Pelodiscus sinensis: one gene and its partners. The protein of the gene in region 1 purifies or fractionates together with the protein of each later gene. This does not show direct contact. Links are inferred from orthologs where the notes say so. Each region holds a gene or a part of one and is shown in the gene's direction. Other genes may lie near its edges.

Region 1 (9,699 bases):
CTAGTTTAGCCATCCAGTCCAGTGCATTGTTCTTTCTGCAAGGGCCTAGATTTTGCCCTACAGCTCTGGCTTGCTCTGGTGACAACACTCGTCTTTCATATTTCACAATAGGGTTTGGATCATTAGGGTGGAACACCTCAGTGGTGACAATGGGTTCCACCATACCCTCTACCAGCTCATTAGTTAATATAGTGTTCTCATAAATGTCCTTTTCAATGCCCTCGTTGATAGCAGAAACGAAACCTCTTGCAAGGCCTAGTTTCTGCTCTAGTTCTTTCAACTTTCTCTGGCATTCTGTGTGATCCATTGAGATGGGTTTAACTTGTCTTTTCTCATTTAATAGATGTCTCGCTGTAGCTTTAGAATCATTAAATCTAGCTACTTTATCAGTTATTTCACTCTCTAATTGTTGACATCTATTAATAACATCCTCCATTTGATGCGATAGCGCATCCCTCTGTGAACATAAGGTATTGTATTTGGTTTCTCTCAGAGCCAAATCAGCTTTTAATTTATTAATGGTAGAGTACTGTGCCATTCGGATTTCTAGCGAATCATTTAATTGCTTACTAAGAGCCTCTACCTCTACGTCTAATGATCTAGCCACCATGGCTAATCCTTGTATAATGGCTGCCTTTTTAGTCTTTTTATTAGGCTTGGGTTTGGTCTGAACAAAGATTTCCCACATTACTTTAAAATTCTTTAAACAATCTTTCCCTTTTAAATCACTTGCATCCCACACATTCACACTTTTAATAAAGACATTAATATCTTCTTCAAGAAGGATTTTATTTGACTGCTCTGCTGTCTTGCTGCCTTGCAGTCCAAAGATTCGGGGTGCCTTCTTGGACGCCATACCTTAAACTTGTAAGGGTCCTACCTTACCTTTATAAGTCTGGAAGAAACCTGGGGACTTCTGTGTTATCAGAGACAGTAGGCTGATCAGGCCTCTGCTCTGCAGAAATTCTCCTTAAGCTATTAAATAAATAAACTGTACGCAGCAGACTGCGCAGCACCTTTGGGGCGCTCCACGCAGTGAAGCAGCAGTTGCTAAGCAACCCGCCGGTAAACATTCCACACTAGGCAACGCTCTGAACCCCGTGAACATTCCAAAATGCAAATTGACTTTATGCAAATGTACTTGGACCGGTCAAAATGCAAATTAATTTTATGCAAATTAATCTTATGCAAATTAATCTTATGCAAATGGTGGAACACCTGAATGGAGGAACGTTCCAACCCAAAATGGCTACCCCAAACTTAAAATGGCAGATCGCCAGCACACCTGAACATTCTAAGAAAAACCTCTAAAGGGGTTTAAAATCTTAAAGTGGTGGAACGTTTATTCCATTGATGAAACGTCCTGAACCCAGAGGATTACCGCCTCTAAAGGGGTTTTAAAATGAGGTGAGTAACTTTGTCTTAGCAGCAGCAAGCCACCTCAAGGAGACCCAAAACAAGGGACCCTCAGTTTTAAACCTTTTAAATTCAGGTTAAACTGCCCAAAAGACTACTCCTTGAATTGCTTAGCTTGGCTCAGAAGTAGGACAAGCTAAGCCTTATCTCAAGGTAACACAGCTTAAGGATACCTATCCCCTCCTTGTTACCCTCTATCTGCCTAAATCCTAACAAACCAAAACCCACAAGCCACACACTTGATGTTCATTTGAGGTATGTACACTTAAATAAAAAAACTAAGAACTGACACTCTGAGAGGGTCCTGCCGCGGTTGCCACAATTCTGTTACCTGTCTATCGAACAGAATAAGGAAGGTCAAAAGTGTTTAAAGACACTTCCCAAAGAGTTAGTTTAATAACCCGACCAATCCGCAAGGTTAGTTTCTAATTCATTACATTTCTTTAATACCTCCTCAATTTGAATATTTAATGCATCTCGCTGTGTGCGTAATTTGTCAATTTTGGCATCCTTTATTTTAATTTCATTAACCAACTCCCTATTCATAAGTTTTCAAATTCAAACAGTCAGGTATTACTACATGCCAGGTGACTAGAGGCTAATGGTTTCTTAATATGATTGACAGTTTAGGTTACAAGAATGATACACATTACAAGACATGGGTCGCAGAGGAGCATCCTCACCCTGCTTAGCCACACGATCACCTTGGAAGAGTAAACCGGGAGAACGGATAGGGTCTCCGGGAAATGTACCCGCAAAGTGGTAAAACGGGAGTAGGCCCCGGCCTGCCCCGATTCCCTCCCCGAGTCACTGGACCGTATACAGCTATCTGTTGTTGATGCGTGCATCTATGCTCCACCCCCATAAGTGGGGGTGGGCCCAGAGGACTAAACCAGCCCACACCAGGTTCTGCCGCGGTTGCCAAACTGTTACTCGGAAGGCTGAGGTAAACAATGGCTGTGGGCAATTAATTAAAGCCTAATGCTGCCTCCCCCACAGAAGCCAGATTCAACCTGGAACACGTATTTATCACCCTTGGGAAGATAGTCAGAAATCAGGTCAGACCCGAATTTAGGGCCAAACCCTATATTTTAGAAAGATAGCAACACGCATCAACAACAAGAACCACAGTAAGTGACCCACCCTAACCTGGAAGAAAAGAGAATAGAAAAGATCCCGTATACAAAAGGAATATACTTTACAACAAGAATTGAAGGCGGCAATGGACGTCTGCGACCTCGTGGCTAATTTAAAGGAAGGACAGCAGGCAGATCCCTTGAAGTGGGGTATCCTCACCTCCATATGGCTGACACACTCCGGATTCCTTGGCACCAGTCCCTCGGCTTGGTGAGGCTCCGCGGGTACATAAACAATGGATAGTAAAGTCCCATAATCCAATGATACCAGTCCCAAAGTCCTTAGAGAGGAGACTTCTCTCACACCTCAGGAGGGCACAGTTAGTGTTAGACCTGGGCGGCCTTGACCAGACCACGTGCGGATGGCGCTTCTTAGGGGTGACGGCAGTAAGGCGGGAAACTGGGTTAGCGAGTGGGGTGCAGTAGAATAGGGCGGTGTGCATAGGAAAAAGGGTGCAAGGTGCATAACCTGGCTGCGCACACATCGCATTAGAGGGGGGTGCATAGGTTAGCATTCCTCCGTGTGATTTTGGCGGGAAGAAACTGCTGAGGTGATAATGATCAGTAGACTCCATTTTGAATCACTAGCCTGGGTAACATGTGCAAGAACGCACTTGCAGTGTAGACACCCAGCAAGTTTTTGCGCAAGAACAGCTGTTCATGCACAAAAAGTCTGCAGTGTAGACGTAGTTATGTCCACTCTGCACGCTTATTTCAAAATAGCAGAGTGCACGTCTAAACAGCAAGGCTATGTCTACACTGGCGTGTCCTTACGCAAAAACTCTTTTGTGGAAGAGTTCTTCTGCAAAAACTCTTCCAGAAGAGAGTGTCTATACTGGCATGTACTTTTGCGCAAGAGCATGTGCTTTTGCGCAAGAGCATCCATGCTAGTGTAGATGCTCTCTAGCGCAAGAAAGCACTGATGGCCATTTTAACCATAGGGCTTTCTTGCGCAAGAAATTCATGTTGCCTGTCTATACTGGCCTTTTCTGGAAGAGCTCTTGCGCAAGAGGGCTTATTCCTGAGCAGGAGCGTCAGAGTTCTCATGCAAGAAGCCCTGATTTTAGACATTAGGACGTCATTTTACTTGCGCAAGAACACGAGGCTAATGTAGACAGGCAGCAAGTTTTTGCGCAAGAGTGGCCGTTTTTGCGCAAGATCGCGCCACTGTAGACACAGCCCAAGGCTGTTATTTCAAAATAATTTCAAAATAACAGGCTTCTCCGACTTCTCCCTTTGACTTCCTGCAGTGTAAACAACATCAAAAGCAGAGTTAAGCTACTTTGACATCAACTATATTCCAGTTTTAGCTCCAGTGTAGACGTGCTCTGAGTGTTGGTCTGGGCAGACTGGGTTATGGCACTACCATCTTTGTCAGCTCTTGATCAGGAAGCTGCACGCCCTAGTCAGAACCCCACCTGCCAGCAAGGGAGGCTCCCTAGAAGACGTTCTCTCCCTGGGGGCTGGGAAGAACATCTTTAAGAGCCAACCCTGCCGCTTCAGAAACCAGCCAATCAACACAGCCCCCCATTGACTCTTTTCAATGCATCTGAGGAGTCTGAGACAATCGTGCTGGGGGCGGGAACCGCGTGGGCGTCACAGCGGCAGGCTCTAGGGCAGCGTTGACGTCACTGCTGATGGGGCGGGGCCAAAATTCTCTACGCTGTTTGTTTGGCAGCATCAAACCGGAGAGGGGCTTGCCAGGCCCTCCTTTGCCCCGCCCTCAGGTTGTTGGGCACTCTCCTGCTACGCATGCGCTTCTCCGCCTCGCTGCCTGAGTGAGCCCCGGAAGGGGCGGTGGCCGGTGGGCGGGAACGTTGAACTCTGGCTTCCTTGTTGCACGCGCATGTGGCGCGCGCGCTTTGGCGTCAGCGCCGCCTCTCATTGGCCACTGCCTCGGGGCCGTCGCGGGGCTGACCCGGAGGAAGAGCAGCCGGGGCGCTGCGCACGCGCATGGGCGGTTGGGAGTCTGGGACTCCAAGCCAACGAGGCCGCCTAGAGCCCTGCAGGCCGGCGCGCGAGCGGCCGCTTTTGAACCGCGGCGGAGACGGCGGCGCCAACTCCGCCCGGGGCAGGGGCGCGCAGCGCGGGAGGGAGCCCCAGTCACAAAATGGCGAATAAAGAGAGTAAGAGCCGCGAGGGGGGACGCGGGAGAGGGGGGGACGACGCGCGCGCGCACCTCAACCGGCTCTCTTAGGCCCAGACGGTTGTCGGTGGGGGGGGGGCGGTCCATTGGGGTGGGTATTTCTCCCCCCCCCATCACACACTTCGGCTCCCAGGAGCCCCCGCCTAGCGCGCCTCTCTGCCCGCGCAGTGTTCGAGGACACGGTGGAGGAGCGCGTCATCAACGAGGAGTACAAAATCTGGAAGAAGAACACCCCGTTCCTGTATGACCTGGTGATGACCCACGCGCTCGAGTGGCCCAGCCTCACGGTGCAGTGGCTGCCTGATGTCACCAGGTGGGTGGGACTCCTCCTTCCAACCCTCCCTCCAGGGCCCCGCTTCAAGCCGCCTGCCCCGCAGGGTTGGCAGCGCCCACTGAGACGTCCTGGGAAGGATAATCCTAGCAGTAAAGGGTTGCAACCAGTCAGTGATACCTATATTTCACCAGGACTATGTAGCACTTTAAAGACTAACAAGATGGTTTATTAGATGAAGTGGGTCTGGCCCACGAAAGCTCATTATTTAATAAACCATCTTGTTAGTCTTTAAAGTGCTACATTGTCCTGTATTTTACTTCAGCTATATTTCACCAGTCAGTGATACCTTCGGTATCTGGACTACTCTTGCTGCACTCTGTAGAGAGAAAAGCTGCCTGTTAGATTATCCAGGTTTGATATGCCTATTTAATGTTAAATGCCTTTAACTTCATTAATACGGATTTTTAAGTCGGTGCTGATGTCAAAATGCCTCTACTTAATGTGTACACACTGTTGTATTTACACTGTTCAAGCATAAACAAAGTTTTGTTAAAAACTTACTTGTCCAATTTACTGATGTCAAGAATACCTGGGGTTCAGCTGGTAAACATGTATGTGGCTGTGCCTAATGTGTCTGGGAAAAGTGTTTTTCCCAGTTCATCTGTAATCTCCCATAGAAATTGGGATGTTACAGAAGAACTTTATCTCTCAAAATATTTACTAATATGGAATAACTGTTCTACTTTTGTAAGACCGTTTGTTTTATTGAACAGGCCTGAAGGAAAGGATTATGCCCTTCATTGGCTAGTATTGGGAACACATACCTCTGATGAGCAGAATCATTTGGTTGTTGCAAGAGTCCAGATTCCTAATGATGATGCTCAGTTTGATGCTTCTCACTATGATAGTGAGAAGGGAGGTGAGTATTGCAGGAATTGTTGATTGTGTTCTTTTAGCAGTAATGTAAAACAGTGCCTATTCTGTTTAATGGTGTTCTAACTTGTAACCTTAAAAACATTTTTTCTTAAGAGTCTATTTGTATATTAAAGTTGTTTTTAGTATATTGCAGTGCCTCTCAAGCTTTCCAGACCACTACAGGCAGTCCCCGACTTACGCGGATTCGACTTACGTCGGATCCGCACTTACGAACGGGGCTTTTCTCGCCCCAGAGCCCACCCATGTCCTCTGGGGCGAGAAAAGCTTCTCCCGGTCTCCCTGGTCTGCTGGGGGGGTCCAGCAAAGGTGCTGGACCCCCCCCCCCCAGCAGACCAGGGACACCCGAGCAAAGCTGCCGCCTGAGCGGCTTTGCTCGTTTGCCCGGGAGCAAAGCTGCCCAGGCGGCGGGGGTCCCGCTGCCTGGGCGGCTTTGCTCCCGGGCAAACGAGCAAAGCCTCCCAGACGGCGGCTTTGCTCGGGTGTTCCTGGTCTGCTGGGGGAGTCCAGCGGCTTTGCTGGACCCCCCCCCCCAGCAGATCAGGGGGACAGGAGCAAAGCCGCCCAGGCGGCGAGGGTCCCGCTGCCTGGGCGGCTTTGCTCGCGTCTACCTGCTCTGCTGGGGGAGGAGGGGGTGTAGCTAGTGCGCCCCCCTCCCCCCTCCCAGCAGACCAGGCTTTTGTTGCGGGACGCCTCAGGTAGAGCAGCTGGGGTGCTGCCAGGTTGGTCCTGTGGGAACCTACCGGGCAGCGCCCCAGCTGTTCTGTCCCAGGCTCCAGATTCAGCAGCTGTTGAAACTGATCAGGCTGATTCCAGGAAGCTGGGGGCAGAGCAACTCTGCCTCCGGCTTCCTGTAGTCAGCCCCTGGTCAGTTTGTGGCAGCAGCTGAATCTGGAGCCAGTTCCAACTTACATACAAATTCAACTTAAGAACAAACCTATAGTCCCTATCTTGTACGTAACCCGGGAACTGCCTGTATACTCATTTCAGGAGTCTAATTTGTCTTCCACACCCCAAATTTCACTTCACTTAGACCTACTTGCTTCAAAAATAGATTTAAAAATTACAGAAGTGTCAGAGTATATGTAACTAGGCAAGTATCTGGATGAGTTGATGTATACCCTGGAAAACCTCTAATATCCCTATGGGTACATGTACCCCTGGTTGAGACTCAGTGGTTTAAAAGTGTAGTTCTAGAGCCTTAATATATTTTAGTCTAGAATGACCCTTTTAAAAAAAATATCTGAAACCCGATAACGTGCATTAAGTCAAGTCAGTATTGGAGAACTTCCTGCAAGAAGTTTCCTGTTTCGTATAGGTATTGACTTGACTAAGTTTTTCAGTTGTGACACTAAAGCTGTGATCACCAACCTGTCGATCGCGATCGACTAGTCAATCGCAAGGCCTCGACCAGACGATCATGAGGTGTTTGGGCTCCTCCAGGCCTCATTTTCCCCCCACCTCCGAGAAGCCCCACTACCTACCTCCAGCGTAGTGCTGGCTTCTCACGGGGTGGACGGAAGTCCAGTCTGCAGCTTCACGCCACTTACAGGGGTTCTGGAAGTGCGCTGGCTGCTCCCCTCCCATAGCTCTGTGGTGTGCTGGGCGTGCTGCGGAAGGGGGCGTCTGCCTCGGATGAGGAGTACGGCGGCTTCCCTGTGCCGCAGGAGGGGTGAGTTGAGCGCAGTGGTTTCCCTGTGCCACGGGAGTGGAGTTTGGCCCCAGGGTAGGCACCCGTGGGGGTTTGGCTGCTCTGCGGGAAGGGGGTTTGGCCCTGGAGCAGGTGCCAGTGGGTGCTTTGGTAGGGGACAGAGTTCTGCGGCTGGGGACCGGAAAGGGGACAGAGTGCCAGTGGGGACAGGTTTCTGAGGCTGGAGATTGGGGGAGAGAGAACAGTGGGAGCAGAGAATCCCCTGCACCCACCTCCTCCCAGGATTCTCCCCCCTTCCCCTCGGGAAGCCAGCGCGTGCCTCCTCCAGGGCCGGCGCGTGCCTCCCGCAGCACAGCCAAACCCCCACGGGCACCTGCTCCAGGGCCAAACCCCCTTCCCGCAGAGCAGCCAAACCCTTCCCCAGTACTATGTCCCCTGCTCCCACCAACACAGTTGGGGCCACATTAGTGAAGCTTGGGGGGGGGGGGGGGTGGAGGAGGGTTTTTTGGCATCTCACTTGTGTGGCCCCAACTGACTTTTCTATGGGTCAGTGACCCCTGACTCAAAACAGGTTCCCTGCCCTTCTCAGAAATAAAGACAATGCAGAAACTTTTTGTGTTTGATGTCGTATTTTATTTGAAAATGAAGCCTGGCCAACAAACCCCCAATTGGGGCCAAGCCCCCATCTGGCCACAGCATCACGACACTCCTGCACTCCCCTTTCCCCCAGACCCTACATCTGAGCCTATCATACACTGGAACCCCCTGCCCTGAGCCCCTCACATATCCCAACCCAAATTTCTGAACCCTCACATCCAGAAGTCTGTGGCTTACTTAGAACCCTAACCCTACATCTGACCCCAACACTGTCCGGCCTGGAGTCCCCTCCCCGAGCCAGCGTTCCCTTATCCATTTTCTCCCAGAGCTTGCACCTCTCACCCCTTTCCAAATCCCTCATTTCCAAATCCCTCATTTCCACCCCGGAGCCTACACATCCTGTCTCAGCCCAGCGAGGGTACGGCTAGACTGCAGGAGTTTTTCAGGATTCAGGAGATATCCCAGAAAAACTCTTCTGCATCCTGGGATGCATTTGTTCTTCCTCTTCTTTTAGTGGAAGAACAAATATGATCTTTCAGTCACCCCTATATTCATTCCTCTTTCCACAAGGTCTTCCAAAAGAAGGGGTTTTTCTGACATTTGATCAAGTCTAGACAGTCCAAATGTTGGAAAAACTTCTTCCTACAGAAGAATTGGGGGGAAAAAGCAGCAGTGTAAGGGTTGGGGATAGCAAGTGATGGAGAGGAGGAGAATAGAGGGGGTGGGGCTTCAAGGTAGGGGTGGGTTGGTAGATCTTGGCTTGTTCTGTCATTTCAAAAGTTATCTTGGTGTAAAAAGGTTGGAGACCATTGCACTAAACCAATCTGATAGACTAATTTGATCAGGAGATTTATCCTTTTAAGGTGTCAACCACTACTTACTGTGATGATCTGTTCAGTTTAATACTTCTCTTTTTTTCAAGATAAGATGATAACTTTTAAGATTGTATTTAAAGGAATGTAAAGTAATTAATCATCCTGGTGACTTGTGTGTCTGTATAAAAAATATTTTCCTGTGGGATGACAGAGTGATGTCATCACATCAGTGTCCGCTGGGGTGGGGGGGGTAGGCATAGGTGGGTAAAGCCCAGCCCCGCTCCTTCTGCCTGAAGCCAAGCTCCACCCACTGCTAGCTCGTACTTCTGAGGTGGCCACATGGAGAGCCGGGGCTGGTGCACTGCAGCCTCAGCTTTTCCTGGCTGTGGTGGGGTGGAGTGGGGGGAGGAGCAAGGAATGGGGCTGGTGTGCCGGAGAGGGTCGGGGGTGAGAGTCAGGGGTTGCCTATCCCCCGAGAGAGGGAGGTTGGCGAGCGTGGTGAGCAGGGGGCACCGCCCCCATTGTTACTACATTAAACAACTTGCCATTATGAAAAGCCAGAGAATGCTGGCTTATCGCACATGAAATAGATGATATAATTTTAACCAAAAACATTTTTATATGTAAAACAAATCTAGAATTTGGCGGCTTTGGCTCTGTAACCGGTAAAATTGAAACTGAAATTAAAATTAACCATGAAGGTGAAGTAAATCGTGCTCGCTACATGCCCC
Region 2 (9,699 bases), on another chromosome or scaffold:
GCAAGGGAGGTGTAGGTTGGACATTAAGAAAAGCTCCCTAATTGTCAGGGTAGACAGACACTGGAATAAATTGCCTATGGAGGTTGTGGAATCTCCATCTCTGGAGATATTTAAGAGCAGGTTAGATAGACATCTATCAAGGCTGATCTAGATGGTGCTTGGTCCTGCCGTGAGGCAGGGAACTGGATTTGATGCTCTCTCGAGGTCCCTTCCAGTTCTAGTGCTCTATGATTGAATGGAACTCTTCTGAGCTGCAGTTGCTTGCAGAAAGTCATTTGTAATGTTTATTTTAGTGACTATTTGAACATGCAATCTTGAGAGGCAGCTTCCAAGAGTGATAAGTCTTCATTACGTATCCTAGTATTAATTATTGTTATTATACTTGGTTCTCAGGAGCCCTATTCTAGGGCCAGGACCCTTCATGCTAAGCACTATATAAACACAAAATTAAAAGATGGTCTCTGCCCCAGTTGCTTACACATCTAAGTAATGACTGAATAATGCAAATCGAGAAGGAGATGAAAATGTCTGCAGCTACTGGATACAAATTGTGGCCCTGAGCTTTCCAACTCCATGTGGTCTACCTTTGCAAAATTCACTGCAGAATTCTGGCTATTGATACACACAGCTGTAATTCATTAGCACACATATTGTGCTTCTTATCTTCAAAACAATTTAGTTGCTAATTCATTACCGCTCTCTACACCTTGTGAAGCAGTAAGAATTATTGTCCAGTGTTACAGACAGAGAAACTGAGGCAGAGAGTCTAGTGACACATTCCTTGTGTCAGAACCTGGGCTTCAGAAGTCAGAAGTTCCTGGTTGTGTTTCAAATTAGCATATTGTGCTGAGAGAGATTCCCTTTTGTTACCTCATTTTAAAAACAAGGAAGAACAAAAAGTATAGAAAATGAACCAGAGACTAGCTAAGGTGAGACTCACATTAGCAGATGTTAACCCACACCTGTCAACTGGTTTACAGATACCACCAGGCTAAACAACCTCCTTGATGTACCAATCACTCTAATTCCCACTGAAGTAAATGTGGTGTACAGGTCTTCAGCACTGTACGGGATCATGCCATACATGAGCTATCTTTACATGTACACTTAAATCACAGCTACCTATTTGTATATACTAGTGGAGCCAATAATGTATATGCAAACTTGAACCAAACACTGACCAGTCTGGGGATGTGATTATTTTCTACCGCTAATGTACCTGATGCAAAGTGCTCCACTTAGGAAGGAACAATCAGTTTCACACATAGGCTACGTCTACACTGGCCCCTTTTCCAAAAGGGGCATGCTAATTTTAAACTTCAGAATAGGGAAATCTGCGGGGGATTTAAATATACCCCGCGGGATTTAAATAAAGATGTCTGCCGCTTTTTTTCCAGCTTAGGGAAAAGCCGGAAAAAAGCGTCTAGACTGGCCCGATCCTCCAGAATAAAGCCCTTTTCCGGAGGATCTCTTATTCCTACTTTGAAGTAGGAATAAGAGATCCTCCGGAAAAGGGCTTTATTCCGGAGGATCGCGCCAGTCTAGATGCTTTTTTCCGGCTTTTCCCCAAGCCGGAAAAAAAGCGGCGGACATGTTTATTTAAATCCGCGGGGGATATTTAAATCCCCCGCGGATTTCCCTATTCTGACTTACCTGCTTTGCATCCCTTTTCTGGAATTTGGGGCCAGTGTAGACGTAGCCCTACAGAATGGGAAGCGACTGTCTAGGAAGGAGTACGGCAGAAAGGGATCTAGGGGTTATAGTGGACCACAAGCTGAATATGAGTCAGCAGTGTGATGCTGTTGCAAAAAAAGCAAACATGATTCTTGGATGCATTAAAAGGAGTGTTGTGAGCAAGACACGAGAAGTCATTCTTCCGCTCTACTCTGCGCTAGCTAGGCCTCAGTTGGGCTATGTCTATAGTCGCGGCTTCTTGCGCAAGTACGGCTGTTATTGCACAAGAATCTGCAGAGCGTCCACACTGCCCGCCCGCTCTTGCGCAAGGAAATTTACAGTACGGCGTGGTAAGAGAGGGCTCCTTGTGCAAGAATTACGCTCTTTTTTATCAGGTGTAAGCCCTTTTGCGCAGGAGCTCTTGTGCAAGAGGGCAGTGTGGATGCTCAGCAGGGATTTCTTGTGCAAGAAAGCCCTATGGCTAAAATGGCCATCAGAGCTTTCTTGCACAAGAGAGCATCTACACTGCCATGGGAACTCTTGCGCAAAAGCACAGCTTGCACATGGGCAATGTGGACGTTTTCTTGCACAAGACTTCTTGCACAAGAAGCCTTGTGCAAGAAGCCGCCAATGTAGACATAGCTTTGGAGTATTGTGTTCAGTTCTGGGCACCGCATTTCAAGAAGGATGTGGAGAAATTGGAGAGGGTCCAGAGAAGAGCAACAAGAATGATTTTAGAGAAGAAGGAAGGTCTAGAGAACATGACCTATGAAGGAAGGCTGAAAGAATTGGGTTTGTTTAGTTTAGAAAAGAGAAGATTGAGGGGGGACATGATAGCAGTTTTCAGGTATCTAAAAGGGTGTCATAAGGAGGGAGAGAGAAAACTTGTTCATCTTGGCCTCTGAGGATAGAACAAGAAGCAATGGGCTTAAACTGCAGCAAGGGAGATTTAGGTTGGATTTTAGGAAAAAATTCCTAACTGTCAGGGTAGTCAAACACTGGAATAAATTGCTCAGGGAGGTTGTGGAATCTCCATCTCTAGAGACATTTAAGAGTAGGTTAGATAAATGTCTATAAGGGATGGTCTAGATAGTATTTGGTCCTGTCATGAGGGCAGGGGACTGGACTCCATGACCTGTCGAGGTCCCTTCCAGTCCTAGTATTCTATGATTTTATGATCTACACTCGAGTTACAGGTGCAGAAAACCAAGTTTTAGTTTTATTACCTGTTGATACATCCTGGGCAGATCACTGATCCATTGCTTAGAGCCCTGGAAATGTACTTTAATCTCTCTTAGGAGCCTTCCTAGTTGAGTAAACCTGCTGTTTACCAGTTCAACTGCATAGGTGTCTCTGCCCCCAGTTGCTTACAGTCTAAGTAACGAATGAACAAAGCAAATCTAAAAGGAACATGTCTGCAGTTATTGGATACAAACTTTGGCCCCAATCTTGCAAAATTCACCGTAGGATTCCAGCCATTGACACACATTCTTGCATCTGACAAAGTGTTTTTTAACCACAAAAGCTGCCCAAATAAATCTGTTAGGCTGTGTCTACACTGGCCACTTATTCTGGAAAATCAGCCGCTTTTCCGGAATAACTTGCCAGTTGTCTATACTGGCCCCTTGAATTTCCGGAAAAGCACTGACGATCTACTGTAAGAAATCAGCCGCTTTTCCGGAAATACTATGCTGCTCCCGTTCGGGCAAAAGCCCTTTTTCCAGAAAACTGTTCTGGAAAAGGGCCAGTGTAGACAGCACAGTAGTGTTTTCCGCAAAAAAGCCCTGATCGCAAAAATGACGATCAGGGCTTTTTTGCGGAAAAGCGCGTCTAGATTGGCCACGGACACTTTTCCGGAAAAAGTGCTTTTCCGGAAAAGCATCCTGCCAATGTAGACGCGCTTTTTCCGGAAATACTTATAACGGAAAACTGTTCCGTTTTAAGCATTTCCGTAAATTCATGCCCGTGTAGACATAGCCTTAGTCTTTAAGGTGCCATAGGATTAGTTGTTACTGTCTACAGGTGTTCAGGACCAGTCATGGCTCATTGTTTTCCTGTTCTTCCCCCATCTTCCTGAAGCCATCAGTATATTTGTCTTGTATATAGATTATAGATAAGACAACAAGCTGTTTGGGCTGGGACCTGTCTTTTCGTTCTGGGTTTGTACAGCGCTTAGCACAACAGGGTCCTGGTCCATGACTACTAGGTGCTACAATAATACAAATAATAATAAGTCCTATGCATTTGTATACAACAGTTGTGGAGAAGAGAACGCTCCTTCCTGACGCTCACCTTTTCACTAAGCCTTTCCCACTGCTCTTCCAAAACAGGTTCCTGTGCTCTTTGTGAGAGTCTTGTCCTGCATGGGTTGGTATAGCAGTGTAAAGTAGAGGATTGAGATTTGGGAGACCAGAGCTCCCCAGTCTGCCACAGCTCTCAGGCAAATCATTTATGCTCCGTGCCTCAGTTTCCCTATGAGGGTAATATATCTACTTCTCACCCCAAGGCCTGTTGCAAGGGTCAGCCTTGCGTGTTTGCATGCTGTCCTAAGAGAGCAGGGTGAAGACAGTAGACAAGTAGGATAATGGAGTTACAGGAGTTAATGCTTGGGTGGAAGCTGCTAGGACAAGGCACAGTGTATCAGAAAAGACTCACTCGCGGCGCTGCCTGCAGCCGGGCTGCCAAGGCGGGAATCACGGCACGACCGCACCGCTCCCTTGGCCCTAGGACTTTGCCTTTCCAAAGTGCTCCTAGCACGGTAACAGGTAGGCTCCGAAAGTGCTTCAAGTGCAGCGAGACATGAAAGCGAAGCGGCTGCGAGCGCTAACTTCGCTCCCCGACGTGCAGGCGCATGTCCCACGGACCTGAGCGGCGACCGGGCACCGAGCTCCGCTTTTGCACAAAGCCCTGCGTGTTTTGGGGAGAGGGCGTGACCTAGGTTGCAGGTTTGGCTCCAGCTTTCCCGCCCCTGATAGGCGGGATCGAAGTGACGCGTTTGAGCGAAAGGCCAATCTCGCGTGGGGGGCGTTCCCATCCATTCAGGACTCCTCGCCTGGGCTTTGAGGGTATGTAACAGCTGCTTTCAATTTAGTCGCAAAAATATTGGGCATTTTGAGGGTTGAGGTGAGGATTTAAGACCTCCCGGCCCAAAGCAGGCCAGAACCCGAGGGGAGAAAGGGGGCGGTAGGAGGAGCTGTTGCGAATCAGGGTGGGCGAGGGACTGAGCTGGCGGATCCGTTGAGGAAGAGAGGAGAAATTAAAAGCCGTTTCCCCCTGGGTTTAGCTTTGCCTTTTGCCCTCGTCTCTGTCCGGAGATCCGAGAAGAGCAGGCGTTTGGCCGGGTGGTGTGCGTGCTGCTGGTGTTTGTTTAACAACGCGCTGGGTTCCATGCAGTTCGGGGGAAGAAGGAGGAGGAGCAAGGACAGCTCGGTTCCCCCGCCCCTTATTTTGCTTGGCATAAACAAAGCTGCGCTGCGGGTCGGGGTCCCGCGAGGAGGTTTAGGAGTTTGAGGAGTAGATTGAAGGGTGACTTTTGCAGCTCAGCTCGGTGCGTGGTTTTGCAGGCGCTGCCAGAGCGTGGATCTAGTTTACAAATCCCAAGGCCGGATGTCTTACTCGCAGGGAGGGCGGAATCGGCACCCGTAGATTTGTGCTTCTCTACGTGAAACTTGTTGGGGCGGGGGCGGGTGAATGGATCTGCCAAGAGGCAGCCGCCTGCAGGGGGGCGCGGGTTGCAGCTCCAGCTTCCCTCTCTCTGAACTGGCAGCTGCGTGATTGTTATTTTTAAAATCACGCTAAAACGAGCGTAGCTGAAGCCCCGCTGGTCCGAGCGGAGCCTCTCGCAGCTGCCGTGGCGTTCCGTTGCCGAACGCAAAGTAGCCAGGCGGGGGGTGAACGTTCCACCGCCGAACCCGCTAATGTTCTGTTGCCGAACGCTCGCTAGTTCCTGTGCCCCGAACCCACTTTGCGCCCCAAGCCGGAGCAGTAGCCTTCCTGCTCTCATCCCTCGGCGGATTGAGCCTGATTCCCTTTGCAAACATGGAGTTGCATCTTTCCACCCCGCCTCCTCTGCCGGTGGGAGGGAAAGATGGACAGCCTCGGGGTAGGGCTATCCCCTTTTCTCTCGCAGTCGGCTGGCCCTTGCTGCTCTCGTGCACGGTGGCCCAGAGTAGTTTCAGGCAGCAAAAGAGCTGGGAAGGTCGGGAATGGGGGGGGGGGGGGGGGGGAATTGGTCCGGCTCTGACCCGAGGAAAGGAAACGCTGCAGATAGGGCGATCATCAGCTGCAGGAGACAGGGAAGGAGGTTTAGGGTGTGGAGTAATCTGCCTGGAATTAACTACCGCGACGGACAGGCCCTCTCCATGGTGGACTCGCGGTTCAAGGGAGGAAAGGGCTTTCCTCGTGCTACCCAAGTGAGTGAGGCCGCGCGCCGGCCGCCAGCAAGACTGGCTTGTGCGGGGCGGAAGCAGCTGGCTGGAAAGGGAAGGGTTAGCGTTACAGTTTACAAGGCGTGGATTTGGGGAGGAAAAGGAGGGGACTCTGCCTCTCCAGCCCAAATGCGGGAATCCACTTCCGCGTCCTGCCAGCCTGAGCCGCTTTCCCTCTCCTTTGCTATTTGCTCCTTCAGCTATGCAAGCGGCGTTCCCTACCGAGCCACTGCAGGGGAGCTGTTAGAGTGAATACGCAGCACACGCACTGCCTCCCCCTCCGTACAGTCACTGGGCGGGATGAGCCCTTCTCCTATTGGAGAACTAGAGCCATCCCTTCTTCCTTATTGGCTAGGATTCCTAAATCGCTCCGCCCAGCTGAAGTCCTGGCTGTTTTTCAGGCTGGTGTTCCCCTCCCCTCCTACCCCAAATGGCAAAGGGCTCCCTAATTCCGGCGGGGCGAGGGAGGAGGGATGTTTTCCTCTCCTTGGAGCTGATTGGTAGAAACGAAAACATCGACCCACCTCCTTTCTGTCTCCGAAAGGGAGGGAGAATGGGGGAGGGGGAGAAGGCAGGTCCGGTGTCTCCCCCGTCCTCCCCCCACGTGTAATAGATCCGCCCCACGTGGGGCGCAGCCATCCCGGAAGTGAAGCTGCGCAGTTAATGCGGGGCAGGGCTTAGGGACAAAAGGATTCTCCCGCAGATCAGTCAGTTGATGAGCTCCCCGGCAAAGGGAAAGGCATTCCTTCCCCCATCCCCCGACAAGCTCTCCTGCTGGGGGTTGGGCCACCTGCTAGGATGCCTCTTTCCTAATCAAATCCCTCCTCCCCACAGCAAAGGGCAGCGGTGACTGTTTAGGATATTTTCGGAGGGAGCTCTCTCCCTGCACGCTATCCCAGGCCAGCTTCCTGGGGGGGCGGGAGAGTCATCCCAGCTTCCTTCTCTGCTCTTAAAGCTTGGTAGCAAAAACACTTGGCGGCCCTGTTTCCTTGCCCCATGCTTCACGTTTTTCTTGAGCGGGAGAAGTCCAGACTGGGCTCACTCCGGAGTTTTTTAACTCGGAGACTGTAAGGAATCTACCTGGCACAGTATCTCAAATACTAGAGATCCCCGCTTATGCGTCTATGCCCCGCACTCCGCCCCATGCTCTGCCCAGTGCGCCCCCGAGGTGGACAATTGAGGGGGGAAAAAAGCAGCAGCATGAATCGAGCCCCCTCCCCCACCTTTTCCCAATTTCTTTTCGCTCCTTCCAAGTCCAGTTTGGTGCCAGAATGTTTGGACTGCCTCGAGGAAGCATAGTTGCTTCTTTGCCCCTTCTCTGGGATCTAGCCGGAAGGTAGAGTTGTGGTCCAATGCTTGGTTCTACCGCCCCTCCCCGCTCCACTCTTTGTATGGGAAAGACTTAAGGGAAACTTTTCTCCAAACATTTTGTTAAGGTGTCGGTGGCCTCCCCCAGTACTGGTGTCCTGAGCGCGTACCAGCTCCTCCCCTGCTGCGATTCCTTTCAGATCCTTGATAGATTAGCCCGTCACAAGCCGACTATGGGTTAAAGTGGCCGTAAAGCACTTTTGCTGTGGATCGTACAATGTATCTACCCTCTGGTTAGCTACAAATCCTGTACTATGTAGTCAGCGAGGAGTACAGACAGAGGGAGCTCTGCGTGCGTGGTGTTTGTCTTTACTACGGTGTACTTTTGCCCTGCAACATGTGGATAGGATGCGCAGCACGTGGGTTTTCCTCTAAGCCCTGTTTGACCCAGGGGATGTCGTGCTTTGCTTTACCGTGGGAGTAGTAGCCCTAACCGCTTTCAGCGGCAGAGTTAACACGCGGAAAAGGGGATAGGGAGTTCACCCCGGTTTTCAGAGTCCGAATGAGACAGTCTAATGCAGAGAAATCGGTTCCCTTCCTCGCTGCTTGTACTACATTCAGACAGACTCATTGTAAAGCCTTTCCCATGGGCAGGGGCTGCTCTTTAGAAGGGAGTCTTGTTGAAGTCTTTCTCTCTGAATTCAGAACTACAAGTCCAGTCGTGTTGGAAGATATTTTAAAGCAAAAGCATACACTTCTACTCCAAAGGTGCTGGAAGCTAGCTGGAAGCAGGCGTGTCTAAGAAGCCACAGAGGGTTTAACAATAGCTCTCACTTTATGTGTGTGTGTGTGTGTATATGCACTAAGACAGCCTGTGAGTAAGGGGTGCTGGCATGTGAAGATTTCTAAGATCACTGGGCCATGGGTAATCTGTTCACCTTTTTATTTGAATGGAAATCTGAAAAAGAAAGTCACTGTTTTGAAACTGCAGCGACAGGCAAAATCTTGCTACTCAGTACTATATAATTAGCAGGGTTATAAGTGGAAGGTGAAAGACACTCTTGAATTTCCACTACATGCATCTGAGGAAGTGGGTCTTTGCCCACGAAAGCTTATGCTCCAGTAAATCTGTTAGACTATAAGGTGCCACATGACTCCTCCTCACTTTTGCAGATTCAGACTAACACTGCTACCTCTCTGATACTCTCAAAGTGACCCAGGCATTGTTACTTTTTACACCAGGAGAAAGAGTTTAGCTAGAGCAACACACAACAGAGATATAGAACCAAATCTTAAAAATAACACCCATGTGCTTAAGACGGTGTTTCTTTGCCTTGGCTGTCCCATGTCTATTGCAGTAGGCTCTTCTAGTCAGGGAGATGTTAAGGTCACTGGGTGTGTTCTTGACTGTCTCTGAGGTACAAAATATACTTCCAAATAATAAGGATTCTGGTCAGTTTTAAGGTTTGGAACAGAAAATGTGTGTAATGGTATTGGCCTTTGGCAGGCAGGAAGCAATAAGAATACAGTTTCATTAGAGTATTACCAGAAGGTATCTTTCATTTGTTGTCTGCATGGTGACAGTTTTTGAATGCCAGGAATTCATTGTGACATACACTGTTAGGGATTATTTTGATTATTCTCCTGTCCCTTGGAAGCATTGAGCTTGTACTGGATACAGTGTGTCACTTACTTTTGTAGTAAGTACCTACTGAGGATGAGAATTGTACATGTTGCTATCTTAGAAAAGCTTCTAGGGCAGTTGGTCATTGATCCACTAGTCATCAGTGATGGAAATACACAAAAACTCCATTGCTGAATTAATAAAGCAATCATCATTGTGGCTAACCGTGATTGCAGACTTTATTTAGCAATCAGGTCATGTAAGTTCATAGTAATTTATGCAAATAAATGCACATGTAACTTTTGTTTTTGTTTATTTACTGGCCTGTCTGTCCTTTGAGACAAACTTAATGCCTCCTTGCTGAGGGGAAAAAAACCTTCAGACTAGAGGAAAAATAACTGTTTAATCCTGTGGCAGCTTTTTTTTTTTTTTTTCTTCCATGTGAGTAACACATACCTGGACTTTATTTTGGAATAGAAACCTAACTTCCCCGTCTGCAGTAGTAACTCTGATCCAAAATGTGCTCAATAGATGACCTCCAGTTCGAGGCTGAATTCCAAATCCAAGGTGCTGTGGTTTAATGCGACCACCGAGTCATTTTGCTGCTGTTTAAAAAAGTTTAAATTTCTTTTGTGGTGTACAGGTTCACTTGTTAACTTCTGTGAA
Region 3 (9,699 bases), on another chromosome or scaffold:
GAATTCCAAGGATTGCAGACGAGCACTAGCATAGAGCATGCAGGAGATCCTGGGCCTTGCTGTTGTGTGGGGAGAGGAATCTGTTCTCGCAGAACTACGAACCAGCAGAAAAAAGGCTGATATCTATGCCAAGAGTGCAAAGGGTCTGGAGGAGAAAGGCTACGCCAGGGACATTCAGTGGTGTTGAATGAAAATAAAGGTGCTGAGGCAGTTGTGCCAAAAGATGAAAGTTATGTGGGCATGAAGCCACCACTATTAGTATAGTATACTGCACATACTCTCTAGAAGTGCTTATGTCAATGCAAGATGCAGTGTCCCATGGATAGGTGTCCCAATATACAATGAGCTATCATCCAACTTGCTATTTTTTTGAGAAGTTTTGGAAATGCAAGGTGGAGCAGAAACAAATTATGCCGGGGTGACTGGGAGCAACCAGCTCAACTTCTCACCATGCAACTATTTCCATCCTTCAATGTCATCTATATTCCATTATTGTAATCGCTTTAAAAAAAATCCTACATACCCGTGGCCCTCCTCAGTGTCTGCATAACACACACAAAGACAGCACAGCTCTATTATTGTGATAAGCACTGCAAACACAATCCTCCAGCAAATTTGCAGAGTCAGAAGAAGAACCAGAATTTCTTTGAGGTCAAGTTCCTGAAAGTTGCTGGTGGTGTTCACAGAGCACCTGCAGATGAGGAGTGCCACTTCTGGGCCTGAGAAATGAGTGCTGGATGATGGGATTGTATTGTAATGCAGGCTTGAAAGGATAAGCAGTGTCTGCAGAACTTCCTGGATCTGTGCATCAATCCTCACCTCAGCTTTCCATTGCAGTTAGAGCTCAAATAACAGTGAAGGAGCAAATGGTGATTGCATTGTGGGAACTTGCAAGACCAGCTTGCTTGTGGTCAGTGGGAAGTGATTTCAGAATTGGAAAATTCACTGTGGTAGTCATTGTGATGCAAGTGTGCAGGGCCATGCTATGTAGGATTGTGTCTCTCAGCAATGTGCAAGACATAATGAGTGGATCTGTAGCAATGGAGATTTCCAAATTCACTAGTTCTATCCTATCCCCACAAAAACTAATTCATTTCCTTCCCTCAGATTCATCAATATCCTCCTTCCATTTTCACCACTGATTATTTGTATTATAGCAATCTCTAGAGACTCCAAGAACAGAACAGGGCCATGCTGTGCTAGGTACAGGTAACAAAAAAGAAAATCCCATCTTGAGAGAGTTTGTAGTGGCCACCAACCAGTGGATCGGGATCTACTGGTAGATCTTGGAGCCTCTGACAGGTGATCCTGACTGGTTTGGCCAAGAGGCTATCAAGTGCCGGCACTTCAGTTGCCCCTCCCCCTACTGCTGTGTACTTCCTGCCCTTTGCGTTGGAACTGCATCCCTCCACCCCTGGGAGCCTCCTACTTGCTGTGCAGGGCAGGGGAGGAAGAAGAGGGGCGCTGATGCCTCCTCTCCCACTTTGTATCCTAACTCCACAGAGCAGAGAGAGGCCCAACAGGAGTTAGGATGGAGTTTGCTGACTGCTTTTGGTAGTGGGGCAGGGGCAGAGGGCAAGGGTGAGCCTGTCTTAGCCCCACTGCACTACCACCCAGGAGCCCACATCCTGAAACCCTACCCCAGTCATGAACGCCCTCCTGCACTCCAAACCCCTGCCCAGCCCGAAGCACCCCTATATCCAAACACCCTCCCAGAGCTTGCACCTAGAACTCCCTCCAACACCCCAACTGCCTGCCCCAAGCTCAGCCCAGAACCCCTCTCTCACTCCAAAACCCTTAATCCAAGACCAGAGCCTGCACTCGAACACCCTGCCCCTGTCTGATGAAAGTGAGGGAGGATGGGAGAGGGAGGGAGTGAGCAGGGGCAGGGCCTCAGAGAGGGGACACAGAGGAGGCGGGGCCAGGGTATTTGAGTTTGAGGTAGATCTTGAATTGTACTTAAATTCAAAAAGTGATCTTGTGCTTAAAAAGTTTGGAGACCACTGGTTTACAGACTACGTTTATAACAGAGTGCAAGAGCAGGATGAAACAGGAAGATGATTGTCAATGGTGCACCTGAGGAGACAAACACAGTAAAACAAGCAAGTTTGTACATAATAAATGAGTCTCTTTATCACTTGCCTTTGGCATAACATACCTCCAAATACAGGAATAGCTTATGCTACTGTATTTCTGCATCTGGCAGTAGATCAGAGCGGCATACATATTTGTTTACATCATTTCACAAACACTTGGCTACTGAAATGTAAATGAAACTGTAAACAATCCTTTTACATTCATTCTCAGGGCTGCTGGAGACTCTATTAAGTATAAATGATGACAATGTTAGCATTTTAATAGATGCTATATCTGCCATAAGTAACACTTCTGGCAAAGCAGGGTGATTTCACAAAGCAACATTGCAATTTTTGAAGAGGAATTCTTCCATGTTACTCCCATCCTTTGGAAGAATGAATTTAACATAACAAAGACCCTGCTGAGCTGAGCTACTGGATCTCAATGTCCCATTAGTTCAATGGCTGAGTAGCCTCTTTGTATTGGTTGGTGACTCTTATAGGCTCAGAAATTATTGGCATTCTGCTCTACTAGGCCCTGGCTACACTACAGAAATGAACTGTGGCTAACTGAAGTGATGGAACATCACTGGTTTAAGCACTAATGGAACAGTGTATCCATACTAACGATGGTATTTTGAGATAAAAACCATGACAGTTTTGGCTGCATCTGCAGCAGTGCTGTTTTACAACTTCGCCATTGCCCTACTTCCTGAGTATGTTTCACAATTCCTAACACAGGCTTCTGGAACTTATTTTTGTGCTGCTTTCACTGGGAACTAATAGCTTGCCTTCTACTATTGCTTAATTGAGTAGGGCAATAAGTACCTGATTTTAGGGAAGGGAATCTCAGTTTTCTAGTCTCTCATCTGAAGTGGGTTGTGCCCAGGAAAGATCATGATACCATCTACATGTTTTGTTAGTCTCTAAGGTGCTGCAGGACTTTTTTTTTTTTTTTTTAAGTTTCATCTGTTGTCAGAATTCTGGGAAGCTGACATAACATAAAAAAAGAGCAGAGACCTAATTCTCCTTCTATGACCAACCCTCTGCTCCTGCATCCCTCTGAAATGAAAAACATTTCTGAATCATTCATAGCCATTGAAAACCTTTTGGGGACAGAACTATTTTGTTCACAGCACACATACCAGAATAAACAAAACAATTCTGAAATACAAAACTGAGATCTTACATCTGAAGTGAAATTGAAATCATTGCACTGGGGCAAGTTTTGAAGTTAAGGTATTAGTAAGGTATTATTCTGTAGAATACTAGCAACAGACATATTCGGCCCTGAGGGCTCCTAAATGGTTGCTCTTCTTTGAAAGCATGATGGCTTTAGGAAACAGTATACATGCCTTTAAAAATATGGTCCAACAAAATGTTTAGAGATGGTTTAGGCATTAATATTAACGTTGGGTAGTTCTGGAAAATTGGGTTGGTTTTGTTTTTAACCACAAATCATACAGCCATCTGCTGTTTCTCCCTAACAGAGATCCATGCAGGATGGAGAATAAACACTGCAATTCAATATCCTACTCTCTAGTACTAACCTTCCCACAAAATACACATTGTATTTCAACCACACATCCCTTAAAACATTAAATTACCTGGGAACATGGTATATTGTATAGAACAGAGCAATTCAACTATTTTATATTTTAAAATTTCTTTTAACTCAGGATCTACATTTCTAAGGCATTTTCTGTCTCTAGAAATGTATCTACGTACACATAAACCCTTTACAAACTATGTGAGGCTGGTGCTGCTAACACTAGGACCTAATTTACTGTTGCCCTACAGCTTATACAGTCAGTTACACCAGTACAAAGAGAACGTAAAACATTATCAACTTGGAATGGTATTTTATGCCTTTCTTGCATTTGTGATTGAGGCCCATGGTTCTTGGGACTACAATGGAGCATATGAATGTGGTAGCATGTATTGTTTGGCAGCATGTGGAGGATCAGATTCTGCTTATACACAGACCTCTCCAGCTCCTTTTGCTATGATGGAAGGCTGCAAACCCCAGCTTTTGGATTATTTGGTTTTATAAGAAAGATCATTATAGTTATTACTTGCATTACATACTAGTATAATTGCATGAAACTCAATTTTCCCAGTATGGAAAGATTAAAGGCAGTGTATACAAGTAGGCTTTGAAACTGCAGAGGGATTTGCTCCAGTATCCTTGCCAAAAAATCACTATCCCACTGTCATTGCTTTATGTCAGTTGCCTAATTGCTGCCTTTTAACAGAGAGGTGGCTACATTTCAATGACGCTATAACCCCCTCTAGAACCCTTCAAAAAGATAACTATAAATTTATTATACATTAAAATCCTTAAAACATTAGATTCAGGTAATTACTTTACCACGTATTTCACTCTCGGCCAATGGTTTATTCCCTGTAATTGCATGAGGGATGTGTGTTAAGTTTTACAAATTACATTCGTGCTAAGCATCTCTTCTCTGAGCTTTCTTCTTTCCAATATCTACTTTTGTCTTTTAACCTTCCAATTGTCTCCTCCACTTCATCCCTTCACATCCATGTCAACTTACCAAACTATACAGTAGTGTCTGATTTACAGCATTCCAAGTTTGAATCTGGGGAAGAATGACTAAAACTAGCAGTTTTCATAGTTTTGGGGCAGAAGAGGCTAGTGTTGATTGAGCCAAAGTGTATATTTATCATTTGCTTTTTTTCTCCTTTCTTTTCTTCATTTTTGTTTTGTGTTTAATATAACCTTTTAGAAAATGTTATAGTTCTTTACTGATTTGGCCACCTGTTTTTGTGTCAATATTTTTTCCTTCTTTGTTCCTATTTCTCTCCATTTCTGGTCCCTTTTGCAATGAATCTTGCTCATCCTCCCATTGTGGGCCCCTTGGAACAAGAGTTGGCAAGATCATTATTATTTGTGCTGGGGCAACCTCTGAGTCAGAATCAGAACGCCAAGGTGCTAGGTTCTGTACGGAAATGGAGAGTCTCCATCCCAATAAGCTCCCAGTTTTGAATTACCTTGAGCTAACTCCCTCTCATGCAAGCAAACTAATCTCACACCTCTCTAACCTTAACGCCCGCCTCCCATCCCCGCCCTTTCCTGCCGCTCACTCAGAAACCTCCCTTTATACTGAACTCCTGATCTAAGGCGCCTCTCAGTGTGACGGACGTAACTCTGCACCAATTAGCAGCCTCTCAGAGGGCTTAAGGCCGACGGGAAGCGTCCCTGCGCCAATAGGAAAGCACAACTGCCTCCAGCAGCAGGCTCCTTTGATCTTTATTAAACTCAGCCCTTTCTTCCTCTTCCCGACCCCTGAATGGACGGAGTCGCAACTAGCCAATGAGAAGTTTCCTTTCGGCTCGATGGACTTTCCTGCTCTCCAGTAGGATGTGAGATTCGAGCCACAGCCACCAATGAGGTGTGAGTGATACACTCAATGGGCGGGCTCTCCCTCCCAGGCGGGCGGAGAAGGCCGCGGTTATCGATCCCGCTGCTGGAGGGAGGCGGCCGCGAAGCAGCAGAGAAAATGGCGGCCATGGCTGCGGAGGCGGCCGAGACTGCAGCGGTGCCGGGTGACGCGGGAGCGGGCGAAGCCGAGCCCGAGCTGGAGCCCATCCCAGGCAGCGAGGCCGGCGCAGACCCCCTCCCCGCTGTCAGCGAGGCTGTGGAGTCGGCCGTGCCCGATGGGGACGAGGCCGACAGGGCAAAGCTCACTCTGGGGGAGGCCGAGGAGCCGCCTCCGCCCGTAGAGCTCGCCCGAAGCCCGGCGAGGACTCAGGAGCCCCAGCGTGAGAGGACAGACCCGGAGGACGCGGAGCTGGGTTCGCCCCAGGCCGAGCCCAGAGGAGCGCTCAGCCCGGAGCCCGAGGACGCGCCGCAGCCCTGCCCGCCGCCTGCTGGGCACCCTGAACTTCCCGAGGAGAAGCCGCAGCCCTGCCCGCCGGCTGCTGAGGGCCCCGTGGAGCCGGAGCCCGGGGAGGAGCCGTGCCGGCCGGAGGAGGAGGAGCCGGATGCTGCTGGTGCTGCAGCTGTAAAGCCGGAGCCCCCGGCCGCCGGCTCCCCGGTGTCCCCGGCCGACGGGGCGGCGGAGCCTCCGCTTCTGCCTGGCTCGGAGGTGCTGGTCACCCTTGACCACATCATCGAGGACGCGCTGGTGGTGTCGTTCCGGCTTGGAGAGAAGCTCTTCTCCGGGGTCCTGATGGACCTCTCCAAAAGGTGAGATGTCGCTGGGAGCCTGCCCGAGCCCCGCCCGGCTGGGAAAACCGCTGCTCCCGGCCGGGGGAGATCCGCCCTAAGGGGAGATCCCCGGCCCGGGGCCCTCGGGGACTTTCGCAAAGGGTGATAGCGGGCCTGGACTCCGCAGGTCCCTCTCAGCCGCCTCCTTCCCTCCCCTTTGAGAGAAGGAATTGGGGGAGCCAGGCTCTGTGCAGAAGTCACTAGTCTCCATCCTTCGTGGAGTTAAGAGGCAGGGTTCTTGGGGCCATGTTACCCCTTAAGCTCTGTCTAGTCGTGAGAGGGAAGAGAAACTGCCCCTTATTAATTACTACCTGTCTGAAAAACCCAGCCCTTACAGCAGCAGGCTAAGCCTGAGGCCTGGCTATGGTGAGTAGTAACGGTGCCCCAGCAGCCTTGTTGCTTTGAGACAATACCTAACAGCACCTTCTCCGATCGACAGCTGTGATGGGGATGTAGCCTCTGCTGCTGCCACACACGCTTTCTGGTCCTCTGGCCTACTACTGGGTTAAAGGTAAGGGAAAGGCCTGTCCCTTTTAAGTAATAAATACAGCACAAAACGGGTCCCTGACCAACAACCTCCGTCTCCTCCCCTCGTTTTGTTTTTCTTTTTTTACAAAAGAGTTATTGCTTGTGGGAAGTAGAAAATGAGATCAGCAGGAAGAGCACATGGCCATTTCTTTCTAACTCAGGATTCATCTGGGCCTTCCTAATACTTCCCTGTTAGTAACAGTCATGAGTTTGAGCTATAGAGAATTGACCTGATCCTCCCCAAATAGGTATGTTCAGATCCACAGTTTTATTTTGGGTGCTCATCTCTGATTTACAACTTGCATTTGTCAAGTCACTTTGTATTACTGTTTGGATTTCAGCAGTCTTCAAATTGAAGAAACTTAAACAAAAAATGGTCTTTAAGGTGCTACTAGACAAACAAAACATGTAGGTAGAAGTGGGTTTTGCCCATGAAAGCTTATGATACAGTCTACATATTTTGTTAGTCTTTAAGGGGCTACTAGACTATTTGTTATTTTTTAAGTGTTTCCTGTTACAAACTAACTTGGCTACCCCTCTGAAGCTTTCAAATTGAAGGTTATTGGAGCCCTGGTAGGTTTTCTGATATGATTGCTCCTTGTGTCTGGGGAGAGGGTTAGTCTTCCTGTGAACCAAACTTTCTCCTCAAGGAACCAATGTCCTCCTAGTCAGTCTGGACCCAGAGAGACAGTTTTGTCAAATCCAGCATTTCAGGAAACTTTGAGCGGAGTAAAAATTGTTTAAAAAAAAAAGTTTGTAATGATATAAATATCTCCTTTCTTTGATGTCTGTAGTTTGATACTTCAACATAAAGCAAGTACAGAGCAAAGTGAAAATAGCCCAATCATTCTCACTACCTGTGCTATATGAAGCACAAAAAGTAAACAACATAAACCTTGGAAAACAGAATTGCAAAAGTTCTTACTTGGAAATTCAAAATAGTGGTCATGACAGAGAACAGGCATCAGTTTTCAGAGATTATTTACCTTTGCAGTCTCTGTTCTCAGCGCTTCCTTTAGAAATGGGGCAAATGACTTTGTGCATGCTTTCTCTGGGCTCAGTTTGCTTGTTTTATGGGGTTGATGTTTAAAGAGGTTTATGTCCTCTACATTCTGTGAACCTGTTGGAAACATCTTAAAGGACCATGGAAGCTAATCATACAACTCTGAACTTAACCAGCTATGGTTTGAAAAGCCTTTATTAAATTGATTTCAGACTGATAGTTTAAGTGCACACACTTCAGTATTTCACACTAGAAAATTCACGAAGTGGTGATGGACCATTCAGTTACTCACCTATTTAAGCTCTGTGTATATAAAAGAAACATTTCCTGTGGGACGACTCAGTCAGCATCCCCTCACTGTGTCCACAGGAGCCAGGCCCCACCCACTTCCAGCCTGCCCCTCCCCGTGCTCACCTACAGGCTGGGTGTTGGGGCTGTCTGCCCTCCCCATCCCAGTGGCCAGGGTATGGCTGGAGGGAGTCATAGCTGCCGCAGCCTGAGCCCGACTTCCCCCCCCCCCCCCCCCCGTTTCTGGTGCGGCCTGTGCCCAGCCCCTCTCCTGGCTGCCCAGGCAGGGGTAGATAGACTGGGACTGGTGTAGCCTGGGCCCGGGCCCGCTCCTGGCTGCCCTGGGGGGGGGGGGGGCCAGAAAGACCGGGACTGGTACAGTCTCTGCCTTGCCCGATGGCATAGGGGATGGGGGAGGCAGAGCTGGGGCAGGCAAGGCAAAGAGCTGGGGCGGGCTGGGTGCAGGGCTGAGTCCCTGGTGGCTGGGGGGCAGTGGGTAAGAGCCAGGACTGGCCGGCCAGGAGTGGGCAGGGGCCAGGGTGGCTCGGCCCTGTTCCCTCCCCAGCGGCCTGGGATGGGAGGGTCAGGGCTTGGGTAGCCTCAGCCCCAGGCCCTCCCTATCTGAGAGGGAGTTTGGTGAGTAGCAAGCAGGGAATACAGTTCCCTAGCTTTTTCATAGAATCAAGCTGGACAAGACCTCAGAAGGTTGTCAAGTCCAGCCCTCTGCCCAAGGCAGGACCAATCCCAACTAAATCAACCCAGCCAGGGCTTTGTCAAGCCGAGACTTAAAAACCTCTAGGGATGGAGATTCCACCACCTCCCTGGGTAACCCATTCCAGTACTTTACCACTCTCCTAGTGAAATAGTTTTTACTAATGTCCAACCTAGGCCTCTGTAACTTGAGAGCATTGCTCCTTCTTCTGCCATCCATCACTACTGTGAACAGCCTTTCTGCATCCTCTTTGGAACCTCCCTTCAGGAAGTTGAAGGCTGCTATCAAATTCCCCCTCACTCTTCTCTTTAGCAGACTAAACAAACCCAAATCCCTCAGTCTCTCCTCATAGGTCATGTGCTTCAGCCCCCTAATCATTTTGGTTGCCCTCTGCTGGTCCCTCTCCAATGCGTCCACATCCTTTCTATGGTGGGAGGCCCAGAACCAGACACAATACTCCAGATGTGGCCTCACCAGAGCCGAATAAAAGGGAATAATCACTTCTCTGGATCCGCTGGCAATGCTCCTAATGCAACCTAATATGCCATTAACTTTCTTGGCTACAGGGCACCCTGTTGACTTCTATCCAGCTTCTCATCTGCTGTAATCCCCAGGTCTTTTTCTGCAGAACTGCTACTTACCCCAACCTGTAACTATGCTTGGGATTTTTCCATCCCAAGTGCAGGACTTGACACTTGTCCTTGTTGACCCTCATCAGTTTTCTTTTGGCCCAATCCTCATTATATTCTTTTGTGGATCTGGAGTTCAGACCCTTAGATTTGCTGGTTCTCACTGTGTTCAGTCACTTGCCATTACATTACTCTGGATCTTGTGTGCAAAAACAAAAAATACTTGCATC

What was found.
Region 2: the proteins of RBBP7 (region 1) and SIN3A purify together in Homo sapiens (affinity purification with mass spectrometry; 8 studies listed by BioGRID and IntAct, counting the BioPlex papers as one, with this or other methods). This does not show direct contact. The link is inferred for Pelodiscus sinensis from reciprocal best matches to the Homo sapiens genes RBBP7 and SIN3A.
Region 3: the proteins of RBBP7 (region 1) and PWWP2A purify together in Homo sapiens (affinity purification with mass spectrometry; 3 studies listed by BioGRID and IntAct, with this or other methods). This does not show direct contact. The link is inferred for Pelodiscus sinensis from reciprocal best matches to the Homo sapiens genes RBBP7 and PWWP2A.

Annotation. Positions count from the first base shown.
Region 1 is NC_134711.1:210,747,872-210,757,570, forward strand, and holds the start of RBBP7 (histone-binding protein RBBP7), read left to right. Parts: upstream 1-4,371; 5' UTR 4,372-4,662; coding exon 4,663-4,678; intron 4,679-4,866; coding exon 4,867-5,011; intron 5,012-5,745; coding exon 5,746-5,891; intron 5,892-9,606; coding exon 9,607-9,699. UniProt on the Homo sapiens protein: Core histone-binding subunit that may target chromatin remodeling factors, histone acetyltransferases and histone deacetylases to their histone substrates in a manner that is regulated by nucleosomal DNA.
Region 2 is NC_134724.1:34,506,697-34,516,395, forward strand, and holds the start of SIN3A (paired amphipathic helix protein Sin3a), read left to right. Parts: upstream 1-4,675; 5' UTR 4,676-4,739; intron 4,740-9,699. UniProt on the Homo sapiens protein: Acts as a transcriptional repressor. Corepressor for REST. Interacts with MXI1 to repress MYC responsive genes and antagonize MYC oncogenic activities. Also interacts with MXD1-MAX heterodimers to repress transcription by tethering SIN3A to DNA.
Region 3 is NC_134727.1:15,066,083-15,075,781, forward strand, and holds the start of PWWP2A (PWWP domain-containing protein 2A), read left to right. Parts: upstream 1-5,406; 5' UTR 5,407-5,509; coding exon 5,510-6,288; intron 6,289-6,750; exon of another isoform or gene 6,751-6,820; intron 6,821-9,699. UniProt on the Homo sapiens protein: Chromatin-binding protein that acts as an adapter between distinct nucleosome components (H3K36me3 or H2A.Z) and chromatin-modifying complexes, contributing to the regulation of the levels of histone acetylation at actively transcribed genes.